4 linked regions of the Cricetulus griseus genome follow. The protein of the gene in region 3 interacts with the protein of the main gene of each other region in a pairwise test. Links are inferred from orthologs where the notes say so. Each region holds a gene or a part of one and is shown on either strand. Other genes may lie near its edges.

Region 1 (5,875 bases), on a different chromosome or scaffold from region 3:
TGTTGGCGGCCGCAGTCTCGGGGGTTCCCGCGGTGCCCACGGCCACCGGGCCGGGGCCAACCGAGGGGATCAGGGTGGGCAAGGCGATGTTGAGGATCTGGAGACCTGGAATGTGCGCCTGCGGGGCGGGGCTGCTCTGTGCAGACGCATTAGCCAGAACCTGCAGCCCCACTGCGTTGAGGGCCAGGCCTGGGGGGTGCACCTGCGGGCCCACGGTGGCCTTGGCCAGGCCCACGATGTTGACGGTTTCCATACCCAGGGATGTGAGCGACTGCAGGGCTGGGGAACTCAGGTTCTGCAGGCCTGGCACGTGGATTTGGCCGATGGGGATACATGGCACAACACTGCTCACTTCAGCCACTCCGGTGGGGCGATTGGTAGTGCCAGAAACCTGGGTGATGGTATCCCCAGGGGTACCCGTGGTTCTGTGAATAACACTCACAGCGGGGATGGTAAGTTGCATTGGTCCGGCCTGAATGGGTACAAAAGTGGAGTATGTGAAGGCGGCAGGCACCACATGGATACCGCCAACGGGAACCATGTTGTAGGGGGTCCTTGATTGCTGCTGGGAGTGCAAGGGTAGGTGGCTGAACAGATGTGTCTGAGGGGAAGGTAAGCCGGGGGAAGGCTGCAAGGTTATTTGCTGCTTCGGTTCTTGACTGTCAGAGTGAGGTGAGGCTGAGGAACGAATCCTGGCTGCTGGCTGAGGGTTGAGCTGGGCTACAACAGGAGGCAGTCTTACAGATGATGAGTCCTAAAAGACAAGAGACAATGAGCCTTGGTAACAGAGCCTCCTTCATCATGACTAAGTACTAGTGTGCAGTCTGTTCTTTTCAATGAGTTAAGAGTGTATGTTTCTATTTTACATGTGTTGGCTTGCTAAAAGTTTCAACAACAACAAAGAAACCTTCATTTTTAATTTCTTTCCTACTACAATACCAGAAAAATATTTTATAAGGCACTTTGTAATCTGCAAACCAGCTTCCTGGGTATCATCAGTTTATAATAATAGATGAGCATGGTTATATTTTTATGTTGATGCCATTTTTCTGGCATGGTAACATCACCACTTTATTTTAGAGACTAGGAAATGTTGAGAAATTGCCATATTAGTTGGCTGTGAGCATCAACTCAACTGGGAAAAAAATTAACCGAAAAATTATTCATTCATGAAATGAAGAGCTGTTATGAAGACAAAGGTCTGCAGTTGTTCATTTATTTGCTCACTGACTCGTAAGTTGATAAAATGTCTACTGAAGACTGAATTTTTAGGTACTGGTAGTTATGTGAGAGATGCTGAGATACAGCAGTTAGAACACAGTGTTTAGGGAGGGATGAATCTTGCCTACCCTCCCTTCCACCGGTGAATTTAATCTCATCTAAATACTGCCCCTTTCTTGACAATATATACATGCATTTGTGTGTGTGTGTGTGTGTGTGTGTGTGTGTGTGTGTGTGTGTTTTAGGGAGCTGCATTAGTTCACATTATAATTCAATCTCTATATTAAATTGACATTCAATTAGTTGAGGCTAGTATGTAACATTATAATAGTGGGAAGAAGCATCTTGTCCCATTAAGAAATAAGCCCTGTTGCCTTCTTTCACACCTAGGAGAGGGAAGAGAACTGTCAGGGAGAGACAACTATTTGTTGGTTAGGAGGCAGCCATGGAAAAACATGCAGTGCACTTGCTGTGTGTCTTCCACCGGGAGCTGTGTGTCCGGCCCTGAGCTTCCTCCTGGAAGGAAACCTTCCCAAGCTCTCCCAGCTGTTTGCTCATCCAAACAACATGAATTCTTGAATCATTTTTGTGTCAGGTTAATTTTGTCATGAAGCCTAGTAGCTATTTTCTTGACAGGAGCAAACAAAGCACAGAATTTGGATAACATGCTGTAACCAACCATATCCACGCTAGTGGAAAAACGAGTCAACCACGTGATCCTCAAGTCTCAGGATGTGAGTTTACATTGGTACATACGTATTTTATTGTGATTTTTGAAAACAGAAAATAATAAAGGAGTATTTTTTAAAGAGGCACCATAGGCTATAATACAGTATGTGGATTTTTGTCAAGATAATTAACAAGGCTTTAACAGACATAAATGAATTCTGTCATTGACTATAACAACAAAAAGATACATACTCATATGCTCATAAATGAATTAAAATTTTAATCTATTAGGTTTTCCTAATGGAATAAGAGGAGAAAACGAAAACAAAACAAAATAAAACAAAACCACCACCACCACTCATCTACCTGTATTGAAGCAACAGTCTGTGCAGCTGTGGGGCTTCTCAGAACATCAGATCCGGGGTAATCCACAGACATCTGATGGCCGGGAGACCTGGGGGTAACATCTGGGGACCTGGGAGTGTCTACATGAGGAACTATCTCATGTTCCTCTTTTGCAGTATGGTGCCTGGCCTTTGTTGGTAAGTCTGTCCTGTTGGGGTCAAGCTGTACTGTGCTCAGAACAGTCATCTTGGTGAGTAATGCTCTAGGTAGAATGTCCATAGGGTCTGTGTGTACCCCTGAGAAGCAACTGGGAACTCTAAGGTCCTCCTCTACACTCCCAGGGTCTTGAAGGCCACTTCTGGATGGAAGATGTTGTGGGCTGGCTGTGACTGAGGGTGCTGCTGAGAGGCCAGACTCTGCCTGGCTGTCCTCATCATCCTCTTCATTGTCATTGTCGTCCTCGTCAGGGCCATCAGATTCTTCAGGATCATATCCAGACCGCTCATAACCAAATCTTTGCTTTTCATCTAATATGACAACCAAGAGGAATTGTTACAGAATGCTCTAAAATTACACAAAAACAGTCTTCTCACGTTTAGAAGCTTGGCAACACTCTGTGATGCATACAGAAGATAGGGCTACCCAGAACACACACCAGCAGAATGCTGAGAAGCAGCCAGTCAAGTAGCAGGGACTCAGAGAAGGACATGAGGGTGAGGGTTCAGGTCAGGGTAGCAGGGAGGCACATGAAACCAGCCCTCAAAGAGAAATGGACAAGCAGTGTGAGATGTAATGAAAGCCTCAAATGTATTTGAAAAATTCTAGTATGACAAAAACATAAAAAAAAAATCAACTATTCCTAAGCTTTTTTTTCTATCTTACTATTGTGAGGTCCAAAGGAAACTCCATTTCCCCGAATTCCAAAAGACAGAAGGGACAAATGGCTGTCCGTGGTGCCCATTAGCATAGCAAGCTGGCCTCTAGGCTTCCTCAGTATTTCACGTACTTATTACACACTTCTAAGTCCACTCTAGCTCTTCTTACCTCCTCCCGAAACCTAACTTCCATAGCTCATGGGTTCTCCCCTCCCCCAGTTACTCATTCTCTGTAATACTGCAATTTTCAAGGTTCCCACTCTCTTTGCCTTCCTCCTGGCCTCCTTCTCCCCCTCTCTTTCTCGCTATGCCCCCCCTCCCCAACTCCTGTGCTTGGCTCCTGCTTCTCTTGTGGCCAGGTCCAGTCAGTTTGCCATGTTCAGTTTACCACTTTCTCTGTCTGCTCTAGACATCCATATGCCTCCGCTGTTCTCTCAGACCTATGATAAAAAACTTCCTTCCCCATAACCATGGCGTGGTCATGTCATCAGTTTATACAACTGTATCTTCCTTTTATTAAAGAAATTAGCACACTCTGACTTTGATGGTATTTGATTTGTTAGTAAAATTTGAATTATATCAGAAACATTTTTTAATTGATTTCTTAGTAATAATGCTCATTTGATATTTAAAGCCATACCCCTGTCCCTGTGTGTGTGTGTGTGTGTGTGTGTGTGTGTGTGTGTGTGTGTGTGTGTGTGTGTGTGTGTGTGTGTGTGATCAGTCACCCATGCAGGTGCACATGGAAGCTGAATGTTGACATACTGGCTTCTTCAACCATTTCTCCATATTGTTTTTGAGACAGAGTCTCTCACTGAACCTGAGACTTGTTTCAGTTAGACTGGCTTGCTAGTGAAGCACTGGAAACCTGCCTGTGTCTACTCCCCAGTGCTGTGGTTACAGGCATACGCCGCTATGCTCAGCTTCTTACACGGGGGCTGGGGATCAAGTCCTCATAGCCGCATAGGAAGCACTTTACTCACTAATCATCACCACAGTCGCCTCTCCTCTTTTCAGAATTCACTGGCATTTCTTCTTGTTTCTGTATGAACTGACCAATTTCTTACAAAAACCGAGATAGTATCTACAAATATCATTAATACTAACATCACTTTTCAAGAACTATTCAAGATATTCAAGTAATCCTGTCAAAATTCTTATGCATTCATGTGGAGCTTGATTTAAAAAAAAAAAAGTCACTATTTAAAATCATGCAGAGTGGAAAGCTAACATTTAAGGGAAGGATGAGAAAATATCTACACTATTTCTTTGTCACTAGCCCATATGGGTTCAGACCATATATGGTTTAGTTATATGTGATGCATTTCAATTTTTTTTTTTTATTAAACTAGGACATTGGCTTCAGTTTTGGACTATGGTCAAGAAAGTAACAATTAAACAGAGGAAAACAGAAATAATAGGTTTTATCCTATGCATGGTTCTGAATAGTGGGATAAGATTGTGGCCAGCTTGCTCTGTCTTGTCTGTAACATGGATCAGCCCTTTGTCCAGCGGTAAACAAATACCTGCCTGCTAATCACTTAGTAGCTTGTCTTGGTAGAAGGATGTCGCGCGTGTCAGGTACTGTCGGGTGGGCTGCGGTGTCACTGCTACATACACAACACCCACACCACTTATCCTATCCCACTTGGTCTCAGCCCCGGAGCTTTGCATGCAAGAAGTGTGAACACAGTGCAGAAAACACATTATGGAGGCCACTAGATAATTTTCATTATTATGGTATATTGGTGTAACTATTTTAGTCCATGTGTTATTGCTGCTGATTCTTTACTGTGTCCATGAAAAACAGCATGGAGCACTAGCTGAGGCTGTAGGTACTCACTGATTCTTGGGAAGTAGTCCCTAGAAAAGGAGCCCACTCTTCATTTTTGAAAAATGGAAAAAAAATGCAAACAAATATGCAGTTGATATTTTTACTGCATATTCCAAATATTCATTTATGTTAATATTCTTTCTGCATGGCAATAAATTCTTACAAAGATAAACTCTTACAGAACTATGCACCGAAACGTTGGGGGGTGATTTTATGGGATGGAAAAGACTAGAATGTGTTATTTTTACAATTGAATTAGTCAAAGATAAAACATTCAAAGATAGATTTTTTTTTTGTTTTCAAGGTCTTACTATTACGTTGTAAAATAAATAGAACAACATTAATTAGTTGAGTTCCACCAGCACCCATGATGGAATGAGTGATTTCTGGATGAGTACCTGGAAACTCTGGGTGCCTCAGAAAATGGGGAAAAAGAAAAGACAACAAGGAACTGGCTGGCCAGAAGATGCTACTCAAAAGGAAAGTTTCATCAAATGCTTACTTTCTGCAAAGTCTAGCTAAGCTGGATCCTGCTTTACCCTAAAAACTATTGCCTTGTTAAAAACAAGAGTAGGCCTAACTTTACACTCAGTGAAGAACTAAAATTTGGGACAATCATTAGCCCAAATCTAAGGCAAGACAGTGTCTACAAGGAAACAGATAAGAGCATGTGTCACTAGGGATAGAGGTAGCAGAATACTGGCCACAGAAGTTCATCAAAAATGGTTGAAAGAGGGGTAAGGCCTTGAGGGGGGAGGAGGAGGGACTGGGGTTAGTATGTAAAATGAAAAAGAATTAAAAATGGTCAACAGACTCAAAGTTATATGTAGCCAGGTGTCTATTGTTAAGACTGTGACAGCTCGTTCTGGGACTCTGTAGGTGCCTACACCATGAAGTCCCATCTAGGCGCTCGGTGCCGAATGCTAACAAG
Region 2 (5,559 bases), on a different chromosome or scaffold from region 3:
GAGGGCATCAAACATGCTCTGAGCAGCCTGGGAGAGAGGCAAAGCAGAGGCCCTGGGGCCAGGGGCTCACCCCGCTGGCCAGGGTTATAAATTGGCTGGTCAGTCTGCACAAAGATGTGTCCACGGCGAGCAGAGAACAGCAGGTTGACTCCTTGAGTGTCTGTGGCTTTGGACATTACATTCTTCAGCCACGGAGACTGAACCACCAGCTGGACATGGGGGGCTCTGCGCAGGTTAAAGAGACCACAGTCCCTCACATTTTCCAGTGGAACCTGTCAGGAGATGCAGGAGAGGCTGCCTAAGAAGAAAGGGACAGAGCCCAAGATAGGGACACCAAGACCCTGGAAGAGAGGAGGAAGTCAGAAAGATAGGGCTTGAGAAGCAACAGAAAGGCCAGCCATGATGGCGCATGGCAGTAACCCCAACACTTTGAGGCCAGAGGAAGGCTGCTGAGCATTTACAGGCAACCTAGATTATTCCATGAAGCCCTCTTTCAAAACCAAAAGTAAACATAAAGGCAACGGAGGAACCAGGTAAATCTCAGCACTCAGGAGGCTGAGGCAGGAGGATTGCCATGAGTTCAAAGCCAGCCTATTGCATAGGAAGCTCCTGTCTGTAACTAAACAGGCAATGGGGTGCAACAGGAAGGCCTGAGACGCAGCAGGGGTGTGGGCGCTGGTTACCTTGAGGTTGAGAAGTACAAAATCATTTCCTGAGCTGAGGGTAAAATCCGTCTTTGGGGAGCAAGGGCCGCCGTTTGGGTTTCTCAGGAGCACGGATCCTTTTACTTGCTGTTCTGGAGGGGCATCCTGGAGCTGCAGCCCCACTGACAGAGGGACCCCCAAATTAACCACTGAGGGGGAGAACAGGAGCAGCCTGGGAGGACAGTGAAGGTGCTTCAGACCCAGCCTCACCCCACCACCCCTCTCCCTCACCCCGCCCCACCCAAGCCCAGTGTCTTGCCCCAGGACCTGGGCTTCTGCAGGGACAAGGCAAAGACACTGAACATCCAGAGCAGCCCCCAGAGGAGCCGCATGGCTGCAGGGTCCAGCGGAGGTCAGACCTGTCTGGTCTGACGTCTGCTCCCTTCTGGTCACCCTAGGGTTGGGGCAGTTTGACTCTGGACCTTGCTCCTCCCTCACCCAGATGAGCCGGGAAACCACGTGATGGCCAAGAAACGCAACTGGCCCTAGGCCCAGTGCTGGGGAAGCGGCCCAACACCAGGGTCTCTGAAGAAATCTTGGCCCCAAAATGAATCTTTGTGCTTGTTTATCCCCAGTACCAGGCACCTCCCTTAACTCTGTGTGTCTGTGCGTGCGTGTGTGCGTGTGTGCGTGTGTGCGTGTGTGCGTGTGTGCGTGTGTGTGTGTGTGTGTGTGTGTGTGTGTATGTGTGCGTGCGTGCGCACATGTGCTCGCCCGTGTGTGCGTTCCTACAGCTCCAACATGGCACATGGACAGGGCAGTTGAAGTTCCTAACAGGAATGGCTTCAGAGACCCTTGCCTCTTACATTCCAGACAGACTCAACTGCAGTCTTCTGCTTGGTACAGGCTCTAACAGAAAGCCTGTGGTTCAGAAGATGGGCACACCCTCACCCCCATGGGGAAAATGGCCTGAGTAACCTTGTTCTCACTCTGAAGTAGCCACAGACACCTGCACACATATCACTCTAAACAAAGGACACCGAGAAGACTGCATAGACACAAGTATTTTATTTGGCAATTTCAACCTGACACAGAGGGCAGAGTTCCCTGCTCCCTCCGACAGCAACCCCAGCGATCAATCCCACCTTCCTATCCCCTCGGCACGGCTCCTGGCTTCACACCCACAGAAGCCCAGAGCTGCAGCGCACACAGCGCAGCTCAGGCTGGAGCCCCAGCTTGCAGCAGCAGGGCCTGGCACCCATCCCGGTGACCCGCTCAGCCGTCCAGGGGCAGCGCTTCCAGGAACCTCACTCTGTGAGCTGAAGAGTCCAGGAGTCGACTCCTCACGTATCTGGCAGGCGAAGGAGGGTTCCAGAGCTGGTGGGCACACTGTCAGAGAGAGATGAGGCTGGAGCCAGCCGCCTAGAACTGAGCACAGGGTGCTCCCGAGCCCCAGAAAAGAGGAGAGGAAGTGGGCTTCACCAGGGAATGAAGCGTGACCTGGGGGACGCCCAACCTTGGGTCATGGCATTTTCCTGAGATTCAGGGCTGGACTCACCAGTCCACCAGCTGGGCTCCAATGAGGTCATGCACGTGGTAGGCAAGGCCGAGCCTCACTGCCGACGGGGACCTTCGCCCCAGGAGCTCTGACAGGAGAAGCTCCCTGTACTTGGCCCTCCGCAGCATGCTGAGTAGAGCCTGGCGCCCTGGAGATGTGGCCCAGGAAAAGGAAGAGGTGAGCTGGGTGTGGAGACCTAAAGCTGCCCAAAGGACGTTCCTGTAGGCACCACACCTTTGACAAAGAACTTGATGAATCTCCCAGCTCCAGGCACGGCCAGCCACCAGCTCCCAGCATCTCGGACAGTGAGGACTCCAGCGTTCACCAGGTGCCTGCAGGTGGTGGGAGGCCAGGACGATGCAGCCAGAGCTCTGAGAACTGCATCCCGCCCCCCAAAACTGCTGATGTTTGGACACTAAGTGTCCAGCAACACAGGCAACCAAGGCAGAAACCAATGACCTTACTGGCTCCACCATCCCTGCCTGAGCATCCTCGCACTTTTTTCCCTGTAACCTCGGTGTGTGTGGTGAGTGTGTGTGTGTGTGTGTATATGTGTGGTGTGTATGTGTATGTGTGTATGGTGTGTGTGTGGTTGAGTGTGGTGTGTGGTGAGTGTGGTGTGTGTGGTGTGTATGTGTGTATGGTGTGTGTGTGTGTGGTGAGTGTGTGTGTGGTGTGTATGTGTGTATGGTGTGTGTGTGTGTGTGGTGCGTGTGTGTGTGTGGTGAGTGTGTGTGTGGTGAGTGTGTGTGTGGTGTGTGTGGTGTGTATGTGTGTATGGTGTGTGTGTGGTGTGGTGTGTGTGTGTGTGTGTGTGTGTGTGCGTGTGTGTGTGTGGTGCGTGTGTGTGGTGAGTGTGGTGTGTGTGGTGTGTATGTGTGTATGGTGTGTGTGTGTGTGGTGAGTTTGTGTGTGATGAGTGTGGTGTGTATGGTGTGTGTGTGTGAGTGTGTGTGGTGAGTGTGGTGTGTGTGGTGTGTGGGTGTGTGTGTGTGCAGACACACAATCACAGAGGCCACAGGTATACATCACATATGTGCAATCACTCTCAACCTTTTTATTGCATGTTATAGGTGTTTTGACTACATGTATGTCTGTACACCACATGCATGGTCTGTGGAGGCCAGAAGAGGGTATTGGATCCCCTGAGATTGGAGTTACAGATAGTTGTGAGCCATTTTGTGGGTGCTGTGAATCAAACTCCAGGTCCTCTGGAAGAGCAGCCAGTGCTCTTAACCATTGAGTCATCTCTCCAATCCCATTCCTCCTCCTTTTTTTTTTGTTTTTTGTTTTCTTTTTTTGTGACAGGGTCTCTCTATGTAGCCCTTGCCATCCTGGAACTCACTATGCTGATCAGGCTGGCATTAAACTCAGAGATTTACCTGCCTCTGCCCACTAAATGCTGAATTAGAGGTGTGCACCACCATGCCTGGTTTGACCTTGTTTTTTGAGCTAGGGTCTCTCACTGAACCTGGGGCTCACTGGTTTGACTACACTTTGCTATAGGGATCCACTTGCCTTTGCCCTTTCAGCAGGGGGGTCACAGACACCTGCTGCACTCAGTCTGTGGTTACTGGGGACCAGGACTCACTTGATCCTTGTGCTCGAGCAGCAGGCACATCACCAAGCCAGCCAGCTCCCCAGTCATTGCGGTGACTGTTTCCTTAAGAGGCTTCCCTGCCCACAGCCTGGAATGTGCCTGAGGAGTGAGGGTCACCTCAGGGCCCACCATAACCATGACCTCCCCCCACTCAGCCCCTGCCACTTCCCAGGGAGATCCTCTCATACACCAGGGAGTTAGAAAACAGGAGGCCAGACTTAGGCACCCCAAACTCCTGCACTGGCTAGTATTTTCCCCTGCTCTTTGTAGGGGACCCTGTGAGTGTGATCTCTAGGGACACTGCAGCCTCACCATTGTGTTATCAAAGTACCGTTAGGCATGGCTCCCGCTAGGCCTCTGTATCTGGCCAGCCTCTCTCCCTCCTGATTCCTAGTCCAAGCTCTTCCATGGCCTGTTATCTTACAGGGTGGGGTTCACGTCACCAACCAAAAAAAGACAAGCTCACTGAGAAAGAAAGGGCTGCCAGAGGCCTGACCTATTGACCCCACAATGCCTCACGTGATCTCCGGGTCCCTGAAGCCGTAAGTCTGGGTCATCTGGTCCTGCTGGAAACTAAGATCCCCACAGGCTGGGAGCACGGAGGCCAGGAACTTCTGCACCACCCCAGCACATGGTCGGCCATCACAGGCCTTAAGGACCTGGAAGCAGAGTTGATGTCTGTGAACAGCATGACCCCACCCTCCACTGTGGTTCTCCATTCCCAGGACAGCATTCTCTTCTGAGTCCTCTCTCCCTTGGGTCCTTCCACTTTGCAAACCTGTTTCCCTGCTCCCCGCTTCTCGCCTGCCCCATACCCACCCTCCTCCCTCCCCCCTCCCTCCCCCCTCCCTCCCTCCTTTCCTCCCTCCCTCCCCCCCATCTCGCTATTTACCAGAGCTCTGGGCCCTGTTTATGAGATGTGTGCTATGGATCATGCTCCTTCTGTTGTCTCTATGCCCAACCTCCCTGCCCTCCCCTGCCCAGCACTCTCTCACACACAGGCAGTCTCTCTCTCACGCACACGCACCCATGCACATACTCTGGTCCTGTAGTCTTCAGTGAAGACAATTCCATGGGCATCCAAGTCAAAGCCCAGCTGGATGATCCTGATCTCTCCCTGCTCCTGAAGCTCCTTCTGTCTCCACAGAGACGAGAGTGGAAAGAAAGACAGGGTAAGACCAGCTGAGCACTGATGAGCCCTGGGGCAGGGAGTCTGACTGCCAGTGGGGGTGGGAGTGGGATGTGGCGGTGTGGGGGTGGCAGGATGAGGACATCTACCGTGAAGGGAGATGCTCAGGTGTGACTATCAAGCAGCCTTTCCAACTAATCACCTACTTCTCACCTGTCAGCCTCATAAGTTGTCAAAGAATCAATAGAAACATTTTCTAAGACCAGACCCTTGTAGTCACTCCATTAAACAGCGATGGAGGTGGAATGCACACCTTTAGTCCAAGCACTCGGGAGGCAGAGGCAGGCAGATCTCTGTGAGTTCTCAGCCTGGTCTACAGAGCGAAATTTCAGGCCAACCAGAGCTACAAAGTGAGACCTTGTCTCAAGACAACAAAAAAATGTTTGCTAAACATTAAAAAGTTCACAAGATCATAGGAATTACCAGACAGATACAGTAAAATGAAAACAAGGAACTTAGAAACACCCAGAGGGAGTTTGCTGATCTGAGCAAATGTGCTCAGCACGAGGCCAAAAACAACTTGGCACACAGGAAGCAAAGCTCAGAATTATCAAAAGGGTCATTTTTA
Region 3 (7,069 bases):
TGAGTGACAAGCTGAGAAGACTTCAGGTCCCGAGTGTTCTCATGCTTGGCCAGGTACTGAAGCACTTCCCGGGCACACGTCTGGAACCCTGAGCAGAACATTTCTTGTCCTGCTTCAATATTTCTTCCTGACAGCTCACCTGGGGAGAAAGACCCAGAAAGAAGGGTTTTAGAAGGGTGTTTGGTACACCAGAGGTTTCCTTTTTGTTAAAAACAAACAAACGAACAAGAAAACCTATCCATTCGCATTCCCAACTCCAAAAGTAGTGTCTATAGAATTATGCTGAAAAGTATAAAAAATGAAATCAGTATTTTCCTACCACTTAAGAGACAGATTTTTTTTCTTTTATGCTTGGGCTTTGATACTAAGTATAGTGGTATATCACTAGGCTATGTACATTCCACTGTCCCAAATAGTAATTTTTAATGACTGTATAGTAATAGAACAAATTACTTCTACTCTTAGTATCTGCAGTTTTTCTTGTGACACACAAAAAAAATGAACATGCTAAATAAAGTTCAACAATCATACCTTAAAAAAAAAAAATGAGGCAGTCTCATTGTAGCCTGGATTGATGTTGGGTTTACTCTGCAACCCAGACTGGCCTTGAACTCATGTTGAGCCTAACTTCAACTTTCAGAGTACTGGGACTACAAAAGCTACCACCCCCACCCCCACTCAGTATAGCAACAGTCTGACGAAAGCAGAAGGCTGGATGGTCATAAATAGTATAGAGACCACCTAAAGACCCCTGCCCCAAGCCGGGTGTTGGTGGCGCACACCTTAATCCCAGCACTCCGGAGGCAGAGGCAGGTGGATCTCTGTGAGTTCGAGGCCAGCCTTGTCTCCAGAGCGAGTGCCAGGATAGGCTCCAAAGCTACACAGAGAAACTCTGTCTCGAACCCCCCCCCCAAAAAAAGACCCCTGCCCCCAACCGGTACCCACACCTTTTAAAGACAGGGTCTCCCTAATTAGCCTTAGTTGGCTTGGAATTTGATATACAAAAGAGGCTGGCCTTGAACTTATTGGGCTCTGTCTCTGCCTCTCAAGTGATAGGACTACAGGCATGCATCACCATGCTGTAAAAATGTAGCTCACACCTGCAATCCCACCACCATTTGGGAGGTTGAGTCTGAAGGATTGCTTCTGTGTTTTTGGAAAGCCAGGACTACACATATTGAGACCTTGTCTCAAAACAAGAACAAAACAGAATGATGACAACAACCCCCCCCCCAAAAAAAACAACTTTCGTACACACAAAAACCTAGCCTATTAAACAACAGTTGCATTTCCCCTATGAACTTTGACTGGGCTCTTTAAGTCTTTTCCATATACTGTATCCATGACTCCCCTAGAGATCAGTTCTGATCAACTTTCTATTTTTAGAAAGAAAACTGGCAGACATACTGGCTTGGTTTTTGTGATTCTCATATTGGCCTTGGCCAGGACAGAGAAGAATGCCTGAGGGGTACTTGTAAAGGATTCCCCCTGGCCTGTACTGTATGATCTGGAAGGGAGAGAAAGAAGGTCAGACGGTGTCTCTGAGTCTCTGAAACTCCGTAGAAATGAATGATGAAACCAGTGGTTTCACTAGATTGTGCAATTCGACAAGATACCTAGTGGCTATTCAGGGAACCACAATGAAATACAGGGGAGAAAAAAAAAAAAAAAAAAAAAAAAAAAAACTACTGTCATCCTGCCAAGACTGCACCCTATATCCAAAGACAAGGAAACAAAGAAACAGGAAAACACTAGGGGCAGACCCTTGTTCTGTTCACCCATGACCGACGGCTCAGATCAACTGTAAATCACCCACAATGCAAATTACAGGAGTCTTGGCATTTTAAAGGAGAATGGGGAAGTCTCCCAGATCCTAGACACTCTCAGGCCAAAATGTCACATTTCATCACTGGACTAATATGTATTCATTCCAGGTGGCACACAGCAGCATTCTGAATGGAAAGTATGACCTTTTAGGAAACAGAAAAGCATCTCTTCTAGTGGATGTGCGAAAGTGAATGGTGACAGGAGGGTCAGAAGCACAGTGAGCCCAGGGCTCTAAAGAGGGAGCACTCAGAAGATACTATCAGACCCAACACTCACCAGCTTGCAGACCGCTCTGCAGGGCAATGATTTTTTGCTGCTGCTGATCAATTAGATTTGTCAATGCTTTCACATGCTTCAAGGTGAGCTCCAGAACCACTGCTTTCTCCAAGTGGCCCAAAGTCTGGAGGAAAAAAACAAAGAGCTTCTGTCACCTGTGAAGTCGGAGAAGTCCCCACAGACACTTATTTGTGATGAGAACTGGGTGTAAACAACAGCAAAGACAGGAAGGGCCTTTCCCGCTTTACTAAGTTTAAAGTTTGCAGATGTTTTAACATATACACATAGATGACCAAAGGATTAAAAACAAACAAACAAAAAAACATGTGTCATCTATCTTTGGAGGCCTTTTGGTAGCTGTTACAGTCTCAGGAGTGAGCTGACAGATAGATTTCTCCAGCAGCTGCCCTGACCTTAACTCAGGGGACTCCAGAGATAGCATTTCTCTGCTGTGGTGTCAACCCAGTGAGGAACATCTACTGTGTCTGGCAACCAGGAGGCTTTCCCTCCCCTCCCGTGTGTGTGTGTGTGTGTGTGTGTGTGTGTGTGTGTGTGTGTGTGTGTGTGTGTTTCCCTGACACCCTTTTAGAACTTCAGCTCGGCTTTCCCTCCCCTCCCGTGTGTGTGTGTGTGTGTGTGTGTGTGTGTGTGTGTGTGTTTCCCTGACAGCCTTTTAGAACTTCAGCTCATGAAGGCTTTTCATCTTCCCTTCCAAATACTTTTCACGAAGGAATAGCTAGAAAGCTTTTGGCTACTAGTAAAGGATATGACGGAAAGAAACACACACACACACACACACACACACACACACACACACACACACGGGATGGAAGATGGAAAAGGAAAAGGGCTTAATTTGTGTTTGTGTGTGCGAGTGAGCCTTTAAGTCAGAACTACAAGGCGATGGAAATTACCAAAAGGGAGCTATGCTAGTGTTGGAACCAACTTAAAGAGGCCTCAGAGAGTGATGGTTCTGCCTTTGCCTGGAAGTCCTGGGACTAGGGATGGGTTCCCTCCAACCCAGAACTACCCGGAGCTTTGATCCGCCCGTCTAGCCTGCAGTTCCTCGTGACGCCTGCAGGCGGCGAGTGACCCCCACCCGCCCTCTGGGCAGAAGAGCTGGGTTGGAGCAAGGCCAGCTTCTCACTTACTGTAAGTTTGAGGTGTTCGGGTAGAAGATCTTTCAGCTGGGCAATGCACTCGTTAATCCGGTCACGTCTCTTTTTCTCAATCAGCCGATGCGGCAATTTGTAAGTTTCCTGCAAGGAGTACGTGGAATGATGGGTGCCTGGGAAAGGGAAAGCGAAGCCTCCCTTCCTCCCCTCCCGGCAGCAGGGAAAAAATCCTGCAAGGGCGCAGATCAGAGACGCACCCAGAATCACCTTTTCTGTCCCTTCTTTCCCAAGTCACTCAGGTGTGACAATGAGCTCACCACATCTTGAACCCCCAAGCCAACCTCCAGGCAAGCAAACTTTTCTTGGAAACTCAGCGCACGCGAGGGACTAGGGAAGGGGTCCCCAGAGGATGCACCTACCTTGCTGTCTTCGCTCCGTTTTATCCCCCTTCTGGACTTGTACACTTGGTACATGTGGGCAAAATCCATCCTGTAGGGAAAGGGGACAGAAAGAGCCGTGACTCCCGAGTGTGCACTGGCTGCAGGAGCCCTACTGATGCAAGAATCCCCGTGTTCCCAGAGGTGCCCCAAGTTGAGAGAGGCGCAGAATACATAGCTAGGAGCGGAGACTTGATGGGGTCACAGTGCACACTTACCCTGACAGGTCTCCGTGCTCCAGTCCTGGCGCTTTAGGCAGGCAGGTAGGAGGTGGTTGCGCGCTGGGGATCCGCTCCATGATGCGGCGAGCCGGGGCCACTGCGCGCTCCTGTCTGCACTTAGCAGAGCGTCCGAGGGAGGACTGCCCTGGAAGGGAGGATCCGAGGGTCTCAAGGGGTATGTTCCTCTGAGCTAGCCTGAGCTCCCTTGCAATGAGCTGGGCTGCCAGGAGCCGCGGCTTTGAGGCGTCGCTTAGTTGGGGGCGTGCATGGCCGGGTGTCCCCGCGGCTTCTGGCTCCCGCTCTGCGCACAGACTGGCGGTGTGTGCTCGCTGCGCTGTCTGCGCCTTGCGAGCCAAGTGAATGAGAAGTGGGGCGGGCGGGGAGGCGGGAGGGAAGGGAGGTTGCTTAGGGCGGAGCGGGGGGGGGGAGTTGTTGGAGGGGAAGAGCCGAGGAGTAAGGAGAGGCTGCGGGCTGGGTTAAATGGGAGCGAGTGGGTGGGTAGAAGCTACGTGTTCTACCCTGTGACTCCAAGCACGTCTGGCCGCTGCCGGGGAGGGAAGGAGCGACCTGCCCGCCCTCCCCCGGCTTCATCACATGAGTCTCACGTGTTGGACAACGCTCTGGCGGCTGCGAAGTGCCCCCCCCCACCCCAACCTCGGGCCCCAGGTGTCTGCGGCTGCGGCCTCCTTTCCCCGAAAGAGGGGGTGGCAGCGCAGCCCGAGTCCTGCCCAGCTGGGTGGGGGGCACGGAAGCTGGAAGGAACTGGGGGGGAGGGGGGTTGGTAACGTGGGCGAACCTGCCCCAGGGAAATGAAGTAAGTTCCCGTCTCCTGGGAGGGAACGGGGGAGGACGGATCCGCCCGCGTCTGACTCAAGCCGGGAGAGGAATATCCCCTCGGTCGCTCCAGCCCAGCCCTCTTCCTCCTCCCCCGCCTGGCCCGCTCCTAGGAACCGGTGCGCAGCGGAGGGAGTCGTCGCCCCCCTCTTGGCCTTCCCCAGAGGCTGGGGTTTCTTTCCGTCCCCGCTTCCCAGCCCCCCCCCCTCCCCAGCGCTCACCCCAGTGTCCAGGAATTGCCCGCCTTGGGGAGGGACCGAGGGCGGGGCGGATGTCACCCCATGGGAAGCGGGCAGGCGGCCAGGCGCTAGGGCAGCCGAGGCCGCCGCCGAGCACGCCGCGCGCACCTGACCGTGGACCGTGTGAGCTGCGCCGGCCCCTCACTCTCCCGGGAGCTCAGCTCCGGGGCGCAGCCTGCGGGTGGCCCGGCACCCGACTGGCGCGCACCCATCTCCTCCCGCCTTTCAGGGTGCCTCACTGCCCCCACCCACCCTGGCTAGTCAAGCACAGAAAGATACCGGGCACAGTGCCCAGCGTTCCCTCCCTCCTCTGCCCCCTCCGGAGCAGAGGCGTCCGGGTCGCCTCCCCTCCGGCTGCAGCGTTACACAACCGCGGCGACGGCGCCTGCCCTGCAGCAGCGCGGGGCGTGACGCTTCACGTGGCCCGGACGCGGGTCGTAGCTCCGCTCGCTGCAAGCCTCTGCACCGGCATCCAAGCTGTGACCCCCGCGCACAGGGGCTGCCAGCCTGCAGGGGATCCCGCTGCTAACCAGGAACTTGGGTGGCGCTGTTTGCGGTCTATTCCAGGGCAGGAGGAGAAAAGAAGGGGAAAAAAATTTAAAAAACCTCTTGGCCTATCAGAGTGAAATCTCCACATTTATGAAGCACACATTCACTGAGCCCCTTTCCCATTGTTAGACTTCGTGCTAGAGACAGTGGAGAATCAACTGCGGATTTTGACCTTGAATTTACAGGGACCTTGGGAACGAGGCCAATCAGAAGACAGCCTTCATCAGAAAGTCTATCGGGGTCACCGGCAGAGAACAAAAGATGAGGTTTTAATTTAATACTAACCAAGACGTTTAGGTAGTAGAGGTTAACTCGCAGAGCCTTGCGTGGGGCACAAAGGGTAGCTCCAGCAGCCCCAGCTCTCAGCGATCTCGCTTAGCTCCTCCCCCCGCCCCCCACCTGCCTTGGAAAAGTCTGGTCTCTTTGACCTTCTAACAGCCCGGAGCTGGGAAAGCATCTGAAACGCAGAACCTGCGGCGCTGTGAGCTACGCTGACACGCAGCAAGGGGCCAGTGGAAATTGATGACTAAAATGAGGCCTGGCTGGGGATTTCACTGACCTCTGCGCTCCCCTGCCCTGCAAATTCGGAGAGTTGAGAGATGACTGTTAACCTTCCCCCACCGTGCTTGGGGTCAGTCACCCTGCTGCTGCGAAGTGACCTGGCTGGGGAATGGGGGGCGGGGCATGGGGTCACTGCTGGGACGGGGTGCAGTTTTGGGGGTCAGCCTTAATTGGCAGTATTCTGACGACCTGGAGAACTGGGATTCACATGTTGACCAAACTGGGAGTGCATTTCCTTCAGGTCGCTCAAGCTTCCACTTCCTGTTTATGTTTCACAAGCGTCAAACCCATTAGCAAGTGTGAGAAATGATTGCTTTTCTAACTGTTCACTGGCTGACCTCACTTTGGGGCTTAGAGATCCATTCCTGGACGGATGTTATTTGGCGGGTTATCATCAATCTCTGGAGGGAATGAATGCTCCCACCTTCCTGCCAGGAGGTGGGCAGCAGGACCAGAGGCTAAGGCTTGGGTGGGTTTTGCTGGGGAGTGGGGGGAGTGCGACCTTCTGCTGACTCTAAGGTGGAAGCGTTGTCATGGTTGCCTCAAAACCATAGTATCACCAGGAAATAAGCTCTGTCAGAGGAAGGAGCATATGTCCTCCCTTGTGCCCCCTCCCCCCTACTCCCCGCCATGAGTGAATACTGCAATTCTGTTGTTTGGTTCATGGCTGAGGAAAATATCCTTAAAAGTATTTGAGTGATCAGTACATTTCCGTTTTTACTTGCGTTGCAGTTGGAAATAACAAAATGTGTGCCTTGCTCACTTAAAAAATTTAAATTTATTTACAGGCTTCCTAAATACCTCAGGTAGGTCTTGACCTCGAAATTCTCCTGCCGCAACTTCCTGAGTTCTGGGAATTATAGACTAATTCCTTCTTTTTACTTGTTCCAAATATACTCTGACTCCAATCTTATCCCCATCCTGCTGTGTCTGGATTTATTCTTTTTAAAATCTGAGAAAGAAAGGAAGGGAGGGAGGGAGAGACAAACAGAGGGTGTGTTGTTTGGGGA
Region 4 (6,581 bases), on a different chromosome or scaffold from region 3:
TTTGGTTTGTTCCAGTAGCCGGATCGAGCTGGGGGATGTGACACCACACAATATTAAACAGTTGAAGAGATTGAACCAGGTCATCTTTCCAGTCAGCTATAATGATAAATTCTACAAGGATGTGCTAGAGGTTGGCGAGCTAGCAAAACTTGGTACGTTTTTTTCTCCTTTTCAAAATTTGTATTCTTAAACTGTATTTGTTAATATTAGAGCAAATAATACAGGCTCCTTATTTTATAAGCAAGTTGGAATGTTACAGAGTTTTGAGAAAGATCAACATTGAATATTTGACTTTAGAAGCAAATACTAAATGTCCTTTTTTAAAAAAGTCTGGGCAGCCAGTCGGCAGTGGCACATGCCTTTAATCCCAGCAGTTGGAGGGCAGAGGCCAGCCTGGTTTACAGAGCAAAAGTGCCAGGACAGGCTTCAAAAGCTACACAGAGAAACCCTCCAATAAAAAGAAAAAAAAAGTGGGGGGTGGTGGTATGTGTGTGTACCGGCACACACACAATACAGTGACCACATAGGGACATTAGAGAACAACTTAAGGGGGTTGGTTCTAGCCTTCCACCATTGTAAGTTCCAACAGTTGAACTTAGGTTTCCAGACTTGGTGGCAAGAACCTTATCTACTGAGCTATCTCCCTGGCTCCTAGATGTTTTCTGTTATTTACTGTGAGCCTGTGTGTTTATCACTAATTTCACTATTACTGAGAAAACTTAATCTTCCTCGGAAGATGTAAGTCTTGAGGGCATTGATATTCTCAGAAGAGTAGCTAGTTAAAATCTAATGCCTATAACAACTTTTGTTTTTAAAAGGAGCCGATTAAATAAAATGTTGACATTTACATCTTTGTTTTTTCTTTGGTAGCATATTTCAATGATATAGCTGTAGGTGCAGTGTGCTGCAGAGTGGATCATTCACAGAATCAAAAGAGACTTTACATCATGACACTAGGATGCCTTGCACCTTACCGAAGACTAGGAATAGGTAAAAATTATGTGTTTTGTTCTGTTGTTTAAAGAAAACTTGGGAAGCCAGGAGTTGGTGGAGCATGCCTTTAAAGAGGGATCTTTGAGTGTGATGACATCCAGAGCTAAACAGAGAAATCCTGTCCCAAAAAAGAAAATAAGAAAAGAAACTGGGAAGGGAATACTGAATTTTGAAAAGTAAAATGAAAACTATTGCTTAGTGTTCATTTGGAAGTCCCATAAATTTGTTCACATCAGCCTGGAATTATTTGCAATAAAAAGTCATCACTGGGCCATGGTGGCACATGCCTTTAATTCCAGCACTTGGGAGGCAGAGGCAGGCAGATCTGAGTGAGTTCCAGGACAGCCAGGTCTGTTATACAGAGAAACTTTAACACAGTGAGAACAAAAATTGGGGAAATAATGGGTGTCTAGTTATCATTCTAATTCTATGTCAGTACCTAGTAAAGATGGCAAGTAGATGGCAAATTTCAAGGTTGATTTGTAAAGTTATTTGTTGTTTGTCTTATTAATAGGAACTAAAATGCTAAATCATGTCCTAAACATCTGTGAGAAAGATGGCACTTTTGACAACATCTATCTGTAAGTACCTAATGTTCATCTAAGTGTCTGATAAATTATCTCTCTAAATCCCAATCAGAAACATTGAGATCTGTCCACTCTCTGTACATTTGATTGAAAACAGCATGAAGGTATGCTTGTCCCTTGATATCCATAGAGATATAAAAGGGAGATTATAGAGCGCTCATTTGATGAGAGCATTGGCTGTTCTTCCAGAGAACCCCAGATGGTGTCTCAAAAACATTTGTATAACTCCAATTCCAGGGGACCCTGCACCCTCCTAAGTGGTACACAGGTATATTTGCAGATGGAAATGTCCATGCCCATAAAATAATTTTTAGAAAAAAAATTGAGTGCATTTATTTAAGATGTCACAAATTCATATAAAAGTGCGTACTATTTACAGATGACCTATTCCTATCCTCCCATTCTTTAAAGTGACGTAATTTACTTAGGATACCTAGAAAAAAGAAAATGATACAGAAGTTTTTAGACAACTTTATATTTCAGGATTTATTGAATTGTGGTTGGAAATTGTGGGTGATGAGTATTCTTGTTATATTTGGTTTTAGTTATATATAAGGTACCTAAAATGAAACCAAGATTGCAATCTAGGTATTCAGAAGTTTGAAATCATTAATACCAGTAATAGTTGATATATTTTATTCAAGGTTATCAGTAACTTGCTCATTTGTAATAGTTTAATAATCAAAGTTAGAGATAACCTAGTTGAGATTATACTTGAGTCTCAGAAGGCTTCAGTATGAAGAGCCAAGACAGCTTGGCATGGTGGCTCATGTCTTTAATCCTAGCACTTGCACTCAGGTGGCAGAGGCAGGTGGATTACTGTGAGTTTTAGGCCAGCCAGAGAGAGACCCTGTTTCAAAATCAACTAACAAACATAAAGAGCTAAGATAAAAATCACAACAACAGATTGTTTCATATTCATATTGGGGGAGATTAAATTATGCAGTGTCATTCTGGAGCGTAATGAAAGAAGCTCAAGAAGATATATTTAGGCAATTGAGACTGAAATGTATTTTTGCTGTTGTTTTTAGTGTCTATCTTTTCTGGGAGGGGCATGTGCACGAGGTTACAGGTATCTAAGGAGGCTAGAGACGTCAGCAATCTCGAGCTGAAGTTACAGGTGGTTGTGAGCTGCCTGGTGGCAGTGTTGGGTCAGACAGAACTCTGATCCTCTGGTAGACTGAGCCTCATCTCATGATAGTTTAACCTTTGTTATATATAAAAATAGGCACTGATCCTCCTAATCTCAGCCTTCTGCCTTGCAAGTGGGGGAATTAGGTTAAAACTGTAAAATTGTTGTCAGGTTTACTGATAACGAATTGACTAACCTTTGTTAAATATTGGTCATTATAAAGAAAGTGTACAAAATGTAATAGTCTACCTCTGACCAATTTGAAGCTATGTGTGGTTAAGAGTTGAAAGTTGATGAAACTGTCTTATATATGTATCTATGTCTCAGGCATGTCCAGATCAGCAATGAGTCAGCGATTGACTTCTACAGGAAGTTTGGCTTTGAGATTATTGAGACGAAGAAGAACTACTATAAGAGGATAGAGCCTGCAGATGCTCATGTGCTTCAGAAAAACCTCAAAGTCCCATCTGGTCAGAATGCAGAGACACAAAAGACAGACAACTGAACAAATTACAAAAGAACTTTCTTGCACTTGCTTGTCGCCAAATAAAAGAAAGACCCATTGATTCCCCTCCCCCTTTCTTCAGCTTTTCTCCCTTGATATTCCTCCTTTCTTTCCTCTTAAAGTTTGTAATACTTTCAAGGACTCTTAAAAATGATCATGTTTGGATTGTTTCAGTTCTCTTATTTTTGTGAGGTGGTTGGGTTGAAGGAAAGAGAAAATAGGTCTGTATAGTTTCACAGTTAAGATGTCCTCTCAAATTGGGTATCAGATGATTTCAATTTTTTTTAACATCCTGCTTTCACATTGAAGGGCAGAGCCTACAATATTGTTTATTTCAAAAAAAGCCACAGCAATATCTTATTCTCTAATTCATAGACAAGCTTAGTGTATTTGTGGTACTTTGAGTTTTAAAGACTATCTGTGGGATGTTAATCCCTGACATTGCCTTCACTCTACCTTTAGTCCTTTGAGTACTCTCAGGAGTTGGACCATTGTTATCCTTGTGAGAAAATACTAAGCTGATTTAGGGTTTTAAAGCAGTTTTTCTCTATTTGCTGATTGCTGGGGCTGTTTGTGTAGTTAGTATTAGACTTTGATCAAAGTATTTCAGTTAAACTGCTATTTAGCTGATGAGTGGGTTGCTTGTTGGCAGGTGTTTTTTTGTTTTGTTTTTGGTGTTTGTTTTGGTTTGGGGTTTTTTTTTTTTTTTTCTTCCTGCTGTTAATCTTGTTGCTAGAGGCATTAACTTGTAGAGTATGAGCTGGTGAAATTAACTGTTTTAATATCCCAGCTAGAGATACGGCCTTTAACTGACCTAAAGAAGATTGTTACAATTGATTTTTTTCTCTTGTTTTTCAGTAAGCCCAATAATAGTGTAACCTTAAATGGAGTTATATCCTTATAAGCCAATACCCCTAAATAAACCCGAAGCAAGTGTTTTCTCTTGGACATATAAAATTACATATAAAGCTTAGATGGACTTGTAACACATTAAGTGTTACCTAATGTCAACTAATACAGATTGTTAGAACTGTGGTCATTGAGTGTTTGATAATATATGAAAGAATTTCTAGACAGTATTTTTGAAAATAACATTGTTATGCTATTGCTTATCTGTTGGAGAACATCCCAGATTTGCTTACACTCTGTGCCTACAATGTTGAGTTTAAAGAGTTGGAATAAGAGGAATTGACAAATTCCTTCTATTCTTGGAACAATAGAAGTATGAAGTGTTAATACAAATATCACTGTGACCTCCAGTTGACAGGTTTGGTTAAGGCCAGATCATTTACAGGCACATTGGTAGTGGCTCTGATGGGTTGAGAACTATAATGTGGAGACATGTGAGATACTCATATTTTCCTCACATAGCCTCATCTCAAAATACATGGCATTTCTTAGATTGTCAGTAGTCATCAGTGGCTCGAGAAATGTTCTTACTAGACTTTAAAACAGAACATAGTATGTTTTCTCTCATTTGACTTTAAAAGGAAGTTTAATATATCTTCTTTGGAAAATTGTGGTATGAAAGTCTTATTTCCAAATAGGTTAAAAAAATGCTTATGCACACTTTATAACTCTTAAGTTTTTTGCTTGTTTTGTTTTGTTTTGAGAATGTGAAAGTACATTAAGTGGACTTCAGTAGTCTTGAGTGCCAAGAAAATACAGACAAGGGGTGTGATTGATGGATGGACGGACGGATGGATGGATGAATAGGGTAGTGAAATTGTAGAAATACCATGCTTGTTTCTTGGGTATCAGTTTTCTAGACAGTCCAAATCTAAGCTCAAAAGAAAAGTTTAGTGTTAAGCACCTTTATTTCCATGGATAAGCTTCAGCTTACTCTTGCCAAGAGAAGAAGGCATAAATGATAGAGTGGAATTAGTTTGAAGAAGTCAGCCATTTTGTAAACTTCCAGATAGCAAATAGATTTTGATATATAAAAAGTTTTCTGAGATGACACTGCCTCTATTTCTATAACCATTTCACTTGGACTATTTGAGTAGTCCTATGAATGTATCCCTAAATGTGTTTATTGAAACCGAATAGCTGCCTCACAACAATTAAGTACATGTTATTTAAAGAGGAGGAACAAATAATAAAGTTTGAATTGAGTGTGTAGGCTCCCTATTATTATTTCCTTTTTCACACTAGTCGGTGATTTAACCTAAATTTTAATTGTATGTAAAGGGTCAATTGTCCTGTATCAAAGTTGCATTAAATAATTCCATCCACTTACATAAGGGGAAGATGTGAAAGAGGTAGAAACTGGGGCTAGTCCATATGCCTGTGAGTCAAGAAATGCTAAAGTAACACCCCATGTTAAGTTTGTGATTTTTGGTTTGGGTTTGTTTGTTTTGGATTCTTTTGTTTTGTTTTGTTTGTTTTTCGAGACAGGGTTTCTCTGTGTAGCTTTGGAGCCTATCCTGGCACTCGGCTCTGGAGACCAGGCTGGCCTCAAACTCACAGAGACCCACCTGCCTCTGCCTCCCAGGTGCTGGGATTAAAGGCAGGCGGTACCAATGCCTGGCTCTTTGTTTTTAATATATGATAAAAAGAAAAATAGCCTTTGAGGTAAAGCAGTAATTCTGTTAACTGGAAATCTCCATCATTTTTCAGGACAGATAATTTTTACTGTGGGGTAAATAGGTTAAAATTATTATGTATGCTATTTGAATTTAAGTTCTAAAGTAATCTGTAGAGAAATCTATGCAATATATAATTTGTCAAGATTAATTTTCATCTGGGGAAAGGAGTTTCTAAGTGTCTCCAAAGCAGGTCACTCATTAATTGAAAGTCCTCCAAAAAGAGAACTATTGGGAAGCATGGTGTGTGGTGGTGGAAAAGAAAAACTCCCTCAGTTTTTGGAGGGAATATCTTTAAGATACTTAAGTGGCTGCGTTTACTTGGTGCAGTTAAGAATTAAACTTGTCAATTTTAAAGTTGCTGTTACATCTGAAATAAACTTACGTGATGTTCTGGTAGTGATCTGTCTGTAAATGTCATGAAACTCATTGTTGTGCTGAGTTTTACAGTCTGCAACTGTAAGTCGTTGTGTACTGTGACCCATACTGTTTTCTATTTCTTTAAGACCTAATTTAAAACTTACTAAAATAGTTCAGGTATACTTAGGGCTTAGCTAATTCAGACCTTGATAAAAACTGTCCAACAGGTGGGCAGCAGGCAACGTAGCCAGACCAGCTCCATCCCACAGAAGCCCCAGACCAACAAGTCTGCCTATAACAACTGCAGTTGTGGGGGTGGGGGTGCAGCTGAGGACCTGACTCTCTTCTGGTCCCATTTTCTGAGAGGCCCTCTCACCCTGTAAACTGGATGGAAATAGCATCGAAGAGAAAAAAGAATG

Evidence for each region. The genes of interacting proteins can lie anywhere in the genome.
Region 1: the proteins of Bhlhe40 (region 3) and Hivep1 interact in a two-hybrid assay, tested with the Homo sapiens proteins (2 studies listed by BioGRID and IntAct). The link is inferred for Cricetulus griseus from reciprocal best matches to the Homo sapiens genes BHLHE40 and HIVEP1.
Region 2: the proteins of Bhlhe40 (region 3) and Stk19 interact in a two-hybrid assay, tested with the Homo sapiens proteins (2 studies listed by BioGRID). The two-hybrid records come from large-scale screens. The link is inferred for Cricetulus griseus from reciprocal best matches to the Homo sapiens genes BHLHE40 and WHR1.
Region 4: the proteins of Bhlhe40 (region 3) and Naa50 interact in binary tests that used the Homo sapiens proteins (3 or more experiments, as listed by UniProt). The two-hybrid records come from large-scale screens. The link is inferred for Cricetulus griseus from reciprocal best matches to the Homo sapiens genes BHLHE40 and NAA50.

What each region holds. Positions count from the first base shown.
Region 1 is NC_048596.1:261,844,339-261,850,213, reverse strand, and holds part of Hivep1 (zinc finger protein 40), read right to left. Parts: intron 2,763-5,875; coding exon 2,257-2,762; intron 755-2,256; coding exon 1-754.
Region 2 is NW_023276806.1:231,370,706-231,376,264, forward strand, and holds the end of Stk19 (serine/threonine-protein kinase 19), read right to left. Parts: intron 4,938-5,559; coding exon 4,842-4,937; intron 4,462-4,841; coding exon 4,322-4,461; intron 2,535-4,321; coding exon 2,437-2,534; intron 2,351-2,436; coding exon 2,203-2,350; intron 2,034-2,202; coding exon 1,988-2,033; 3' UTR 1,694-1,987; downstream 1-1,693. Other genes in the region: C4a (complement C4-A), read right to left, coding at 71-272, 684-876, 972-1,036. UniProt on the Homo sapiens protein: DNA-binding protein which is required for efficient transcription-coupled nucleotide excision repair (TC-NER). Acts as part of a TC-NER complex which assembles and interacts with RNA polymerase II (RNAPII) when it stalls at DNA lesions.
Region 3 is NC_048601.1:35,825,951-35,833,019, forward strand, and holds the start of Bhlhe40 (class E basic helix-loop-helix protein 40), read right to left. Parts: upstream 4,277-7,069; 5' UTR 3,954-4,276; coding exon 3,874-3,953; intron 3,708-3,873; coding exon 3,638-3,707; intron 3,363-3,637; coding exon 3,255-3,362; intron 2,228-3,254; coding exon 2,104-2,227; intron 140-2,103; coding exon 1-139. UniProt on the Homo sapiens protein: Transcriptional repressor involved in the regulation of the circadian rhythm by negatively regulating the activity of the clock genes and clock-controlled genes.
Region 4 is NC_048597.1:46,253,598-46,260,178, reverse strand, and holds the end of Naa50 (N-alpha-acetyltransferase 50), read left to right. Parts: intron 1-15; coding exon 16-152; intron 153-870; coding exon 871-990; intron 991-1,507; coding exon 1,508-1,574; intron 1,575-3,039; coding exon 3,040-3,217; 3' UTR 3,218-6,201; downstream 6,202-6,581. UniProt on the Homo sapiens protein: N-alpha-acetyltransferase that acetylates the N-terminus of proteins that retain their initiating methionine. Has a broad substrate specificity: able to acetylate the initiator methionine of most peptides, except for those with a proline in second position.